Linked DNA regions of Kluyveromyces lactis. The protein of the gene in region 1 purifies or fractionates together with the protein of each later gene. This does not show direct contact. Links are inferred from orthologs where the notes say so. Each region holds a gene or a part of one and is shown in the gene's direction. Other genes may lie near its edges.

What was found.
Region 2: the proteins of RBA50 (region 1) and GPN2 purify together in Saccharomyces cerevisiae (affinity purification with mass spectrometry; 3 studies listed by BioGRID, with this or other methods). This does not show direct contact. The link is inferred for Kluyveromyces lactis from reciprocal best matches to the Saccharomyces cerevisiae genes RBA50 and GPN2.

Annotation. Positions count from the first base shown.
Region 1 is NC_006039.1:66,652-70,187, reverse strand, and holds RBA50 (Rba50p), read left to right. Parts: upstream 1-1,427; coding exon 1,428-2,852; downstream 2,853-3,536. Other genes in the region: SNA2 (Sna2p), read left to right, coding at 836-1,063. UniProt on the Saccharomyces cerevisiae protein: Forms an interface between the RNA polymerase II enzyme and chaperone/scaffolding proteins, suggesting that it is required to connect RNA polymerase II to regulators of protein complex formation.
Region 2 is NC_006039.1:825,893-829,152, reverse strand, and holds GPN2 (GTPase GPN2), read left to right. Parts: upstream 1-1,502; coding exon 1,503-2,546; downstream 2,547-3,260. Other genes in the region: proteasome regulatory particle lid subunit RPN8, read right to left, coding at 43-1,044; DSE3 (Dse3p), read left to right, coding at 3,173-3,260. UniProt on the Saccharomyces cerevisiae protein: Small GTPase required for proper localization of RNA polymerase II and III (RNAPII and RNAPIII). May act at an RNAP assembly step prior to nuclear import. Required for establishment of sister chromatid cohesion.

The DNA of each region.
Region 1 (3,536 bases):
CCTTTCGCCTTTTAGTTGCTAACTGAGATCTCACTGAAGTACAGTGGAGTGGTAAAAAGCAATGCAGTCATGACCTGAGAGATTAAATCTCGCTTTTCTTGCTATTTGCAGTAAAGTAACACCAGATCTAGATCTAGATCTAGATTTCTGTTTTAGACTACCATGGGCACTGATAAATCTATTATTAGCAACATGATATATCAAGAGATCTTTTTTTCTTTTTCCTTTTTTTTCGTAGAACGTTCTAGATAATCTGAGTGTCTAGAACTTTCGGCCCTTTTTCCAAGTCACACAATTGGAGCTTCAGAAGAACCATAGCATGAGGTGCTTAACTTTACCAAGCTTTTTTCTCAATCACAATATCATGCTGTATTGAGGTGGGGTCATTGTCCTCAAAACCTGCTTGAGGCAACCAATGTATTTTGGCCATATGTAAATATTATTACCCGGGAAACACAACCACCGGGTAAATAAAATCGTTATCACGTGATTGAGTGATTCTTCTTTATTTGTTACCCGCTTTTGCCATTTCCTTTTTCTTATCCTTTTGATAATCTCTTTTTTGCTCTGAACCTCAGATGCAATTTAAGTCCATGGGCCTAAAGACTGCTGGCGAAGCATCATCACGGCAAAAACTACGTAGTGCAATTTCAGGGGATTTGCTATTGGTATATTGCAGCTTGTAAAATCAACGCAACTATATAAGAGAACTGGATTTTAACGCTGCGATTCCAGGTACTGTCGGGGCCTTGTTCTATGACAGAGCAGATAATTTACATTGGGGTACATGGTCAATTGTTGAGAATCCAAGTCCATAATTAAAAACCATTTAAATATGCACGCACGTGACTGGTTTCTAGTGTTCATTGCGATCTTTCTACCTCCTGTAGCAGTTTGGATAAAGAGAGGCTTCTTCACCAAAGATTTTCTGCTTAATGTGCTATTGTTCCTTCTAGGATTCTTCCCAGGTTTGATTCATGCCCTATGGGTTATTTCAAAGCACCCATACGAAAGTGAAGGTGATGTATTGAGCCGCGGCCAGGGATACGGCTCTATGTCATAAGCCACTCAAAATAATTGTGAATCATACTAATCATCATGGTTGATATAATAAAACTTGGAATAACAGAGTCCAGGAGGGTTTGCTGGTTTAAAAACAATGAATCCTGTTCATATTTCATACATTAGCTTCATATAATCTTTCCTATATTTAATGTACGTGTTCTATTACTGATTAATCCCTTCCTATGTGGGTATTAAAGTGGCCTCTTGATTTAAATATGTGGTGTGTGGGTTTATTTATTATTTTAGGCTTCACATGAAAGTCTTTGGATGAACAGATGTGATGCGATGAGATGATAAAGCATATCTATTCTATTAGGTAGCACAGCATCTTTAGCACTTGCAAATCAACCAAACCGCAGGACATGGATTTGTTTGGTGATATTGTCGAGAGAGAAACCGTTGCTCCAGATGCCGTTTCCAACCAAGGTATGCCTACTACTGGCTTCCCCAAGTTACATCAGCCAGAGAAAGTATCTAGTTGGAAGCAACGCTTAATGGAAAAGAAGAAGAAGAAACAGCAGAGAAGTAACACTGGATCAGAACCTCCAAATGCTAACTTTGTTGAGGTTGGAAATGACTCGTGTTTCTCGGATGATACTAAAACAGACCCTAATGCCTTGTCTGAAGCAGAAAGAATACATCTTCAAAACTTGGCTGTGTTACAGAGTATGACACCTGAGCAATTCGAACGTGAAAGACAAGAGTTAATGGATTCTTTGAACCCGAATGTGTTGAAATCGTTGATTGCTCGGGTTGACAAAAAAATGACGTCCTTGTCGTTAAAGGATGGTGAAACATCGAGGTCTAAACCACCTGTTCCGCAGTATGCTGAAATCGAAGGTCCAGGTACGTGGATTGGTGGAAGCAACAAGGTTAAAGACTTACCCAAATTAGACGATAAGGCTGTGGATGAGGCTTTAGGCATAAATTCTGTTGAGGTTCAGCCTCTGAAATCTGTGAGATTTGAGCGAGATCTGAAGAAAGAGGAAGTTCACAATATCAAACCTGACGAGTATGATCGAACCGATGAAGTACCTAATGGAACTTTCAACGACGAAGATGATATGGCACCCCAAGAGTACCAGTTTGTTCAAAGTATAGATCATATGAGTAATAAAGACTTACTAGCGGAGGTACATTTTATAAAGGCAAGAAAAACCATGGGGAAGGAACAAGAATATGAGCCTTTGGATATAAATGACCCTAACTTCGATCAGGAGTTACACAAGAAGTTTTTCCCCGACCTACCGCAAGAACCAGATAAATTAAAATGGATGCAACAAGTAGAAAACACAGGCAAGGCAGAAGAAGTCATTCATGACGTTTCTGTTTGTCGATTTGACTTCAAAGGTAATATGGTACCCCCTGGGAGGAAACTGACCACTACGAACAATGGTTTACATCACCATTCGGACGCTCCAGAGCTCGCAGGTTATACCATCCCAGAACTTGCTCATTTATCTCTTTCTAAATTCCCTGCACAAAGGTCGATTGCCATTCAAACTCTCGGAAGAATTCTATATAAACTCGGTAAGCAGTCATACGCTCAACTTGTACCTGAAGTCGATGCTGAAACGTATCAAGAAGAAGGGGGATCCAAGCAAATAATAAACAAAATCTACTACATGTTTTGGGATGTGATGAAGGACTGTAAAGTTATAGAAACATTGCAGTTAGCGGCAGACGAATCTAAAACCGCAAACATCAGTGTGAGAAATTATGCTATAGACGCACTCTGGCTATGGAAGCAAGGAGGCGGCGATCTTAGAGCTGTAAGTAAGGAATGAAATATTCGTAAATATCCGTAAATCCATTTAAAACAAATCGATTCATCGAAAGATACTTTGGTAGTATTGAACACGATGCAACTCCTTTCAAAACAAAAGTATCTCGATTGAGTTTTTCTATCCTTGTTCATGACTGATAGAAAAACTCTATAGTGAGCTTGGAAAGAATTACAATCGAGATAGCGCTGCATGTATTTATACGTGTACAGATTACAGGTCTCTGGGGTATCTGGTTCAGATTTTGCAAATAAAATGTTCAATCTGATGTTCTCAAAAACCTGTAGCAACTGTACCAAATCCTCACTGATTGATCTCAGCACATAGACACATCGATGGTACATCTAATTGTACGCAAAAACCTGTTTCACAACAGATAATCACCATACCATCAACTTAAGTTGTGCATTGGTTGTTCTCTTAAAAGTGAAACGATTAGAATGCAAGTGGATATCGCATGCAAATCTACTATTCGATGAGTTTGGCCTTTTTATGTTTTTTTTTTTGACATTTTCAGAGTTCGACTGGAAATTGAGAATAGTGCATTTTTTAATTGTTGACATTCTGGAATCCTCTTAGCTACATGTAAATAAACCTGTCATTTAATTTCGAAGTAAAGCAGATGGGCAGTTAATCATTAGTAAGTCAATTTTGAAACTATTCGGGAAGTTGAATTAGATCATACGG
Region 2 (3,260 bases), about 760 kb from region 1:
TATATTTGATTATTTTCGTTTCGGTTTATTAAAAGAGTTGCATCAGTTCTTAGTAGGTACCGAATTCGACTCAGCAGGGATGCCGTCATTAGTGGCATCCTCCTTTTGTTCTACTTCAACTTTCGAATGCTTTTCAAGAAGTTTCTTATTTTGAATTTTGTTCTCAATCAAGTTATCAAATGCAACTATGGCTCTGACCAGATTACTTATGTAAATGATCATTAGTTCGTCATTGGTTTTAACTGTGAGGGCTTTTTCCAAATTGTTGGTAACATTGTCTAAGACATGACTTGAGCCGATCATTTCATCTTTATCTGGGGTTCCGAGGTTTGGAAGAAGATTGAAAATGTCTTGCAATTTTCCTAAAATTATGTGGTTCACAGGTAACTCGTTGTTTGCCACTTTTTCCAAGTATGCTACTATGTCTTTCAATTTTCTTTGCAAGCCCCTAAGAGAATTTAATTGATTAGTTAGCTTTATAGATAAACCAGCTGCAGCTTGATCACGGACATCTTTGAGTAGATGTTCAACACCAATTTCTTCCGCCTCGTCTGCTTCCACAGTGCTTGGGATATGTATAAAGGTCCGCTCAGTCGAAGTACCATCATCCTTGATCTGTTCCACAGCCACATATGCGTTCGTTGGTAGTCCGATATCCTCTTGTTTCACATCGAGTATCAACAACACGGGATTATTGTTGGTACTGTACTTCTTGAACAACTCGTTAATCTTTAAATCAGAAGCCCTTAATTTCCCACCACTGTGATACCAACCAATTAGCTTCTCTTTCGCATTGATCTTTTTACACATCTCGTTCATGGTCTCGATGTAGTTGTGATCTAGGAACCAAACGTCTGGATTCTTCTCGTCTTCTTCGAACGGCAACGCAAACGAATTAGTTATCCTCACGGTTGCCGTGGAACTATCACCTAGAATGACACCTAAACATCTCTTGTTCTCCGGAGTATTTGTACGCTGATGATGGTCTAATACGGAAAGTAACACCAATGGTGCAACTGAAACTTGTTCGTAAGGTACAGACATTATCAATTGGTTGTTGCCAAGCTGTTTCCAATTTATAGTTTGATTTCTATTCTCTTAGCTTATCAGAAATGCAGATTGACTAAGCACTTTTTTTGACTCTCTTTTATAAGTAAACCCCAAAACGCTAGATTGGTCACGGTAATTCAATTAGTACAATCTCAAAGTATTATCACAGTTTCGCTTTCAGGAGTGTATAGATCTTCAAGTGCCCCATTATTTCAGGTATTTTTGTCAAATTAATATTTGCCACTAATGTTCTTAATGCTATTTCATTTTTTTTATTTTCAAATCTCGAAATATTAGGAACTGCGAAGCGAACATAATTCAATGCTTAATATTAAAAAGATTCTGTGCAATGAGATGAGATGAAAGGACATGTTTATACGGTTAGGGAGGAGACAAGACGGCTTACGGTTTGTACGAAGACCTTGGGTATACTCTAGAAAATAAATATAAAGATGCCATTTGGCCAAATTGTGATTGGACCTCCAGGGTCTGGTAAATCAACGTACTGTCATGGTTGTTCCCAGTTTTTCAATGCAATCGGAAGACATGTTCAAGTGATAAATATGGATCCAGCCAACCATCGGCTCCCGTATCCGTGTTCGGTCGATATTAGAGACTATATCACGCTAGAAGAGATTATGTCAGAACAGCATTTGGGTCCGAATGGTGGGTTAATGTATGCGATAGAGTCTTTAAATGAGTCGATCGATTTGTTCATATTGCAGATCAAATCGTTAGTACAAGAGGAGAAAGCATACCTAGTCTTTGACTGTCCCGGGCAAGTCGAATTATTCACACACAATTCGGCGTTGTTCAAGATTTTCAAACGACTAGAGAAGGATTTGGATATCAGGCTATGTGTTGTGAATTTGATCGATTGTATTTACATTACTTCTCCCTCGCAGTACGTTTCGATCCTTCTACTTGCACTAAGATCGATGCTAATGATGGATCTTCCACACATCAATGTCTTCTCAAAGATCGATATGCTAAAGGGATACGGAGAGTTGCCTTTCAGATTGGATTACTTCACGGAGGTCCAAGAATTGGAATATCTAAATCCACTTATTGAGAAGGAAGGGTCGGGTGTATTAGGGAGAAAATACTCAAGGCTCACTGAAACCATCGGTGAAATGGTCTCTGATTTCAATTTAGTTTCTTTCGAGGTCCTTGCCATTGATGACAAACAATCGATGATCAATTTACAAAGTGTTATAGATAAAGCGAACGGATACATATTTGGTTCGAGCGAAATAGGAGGAGATACAGTATGGGCAGAAGCTAGTAGACAAGGCGCAGCCATGGTCAACTACGACGTTCATGATAGATGGATCGAAAATAAAGAGACGTATGATAAACTAGAAAAGGAAGCACGTGACCAGCAGCTCAAAGAAAGGGAAATGCAAGCAAAAGAGATCGACGTCAACGAAGACGACGAATGGGAATCGGCGCTCAGGGAATGGGAAGAAAAACAAGGCACCAACTATGTTAGGTAACTGATGCATATCCTGCTTCCGTTACCACACCCGAACCATCCACCTTTCTTTTGCGTGAACTTTTCTGTTTTTTTTGCTGGGTTTACTACTCTATAGTAGGGGATCTTTAGAAATCTTATTTTTTCAAGATTTTGTAGACAAGGTAGCACATTAAAAGAGATGCAGTATTTACTTGCTGGGTCAAAAATGTGTCTCGAATCTTTGATGCGATGAGATGGAAGAGACTAAGTAGCGGAAAGAGAGCTAGGTGATGCATGCAGTTGGTGTAGTGATTTAAAGCGGGGAGTGTTATTCCTGCATGGATACTGATCTATTTTTTTTTTCCTGCGCTGGGCTGTTGTTTTGGCCTAAGGGACATGTTTCCCAGAATGAGTAAAGGATGGGTATGATCCTTATTTCTCAGATGAGAAGGTTAGGTGTGCTATTAGTGAGAGTATGTATATATAGAGGTAAAGAATTCTTCTTACCTATTAGCCTTTCTTTTCCCCTTATACTCTCTATTGTTTAACATTAGTCTGTGTATCAACCACCTTCATTCAGCTGAAATTATAATAACAATAGTTAAAGGTTATTTACTCAAAGGCGTACTTGCAGGCTTCAAAAAAAAACTTTTCATAATCAGTGCCATGGTTCGCCGGTTCAGTGGGCAACGAATCGTTTCAGAGATCGATTTCGCTCCTCCAAGCTCCATGCTGCTTACCGAGGAAGATCTGT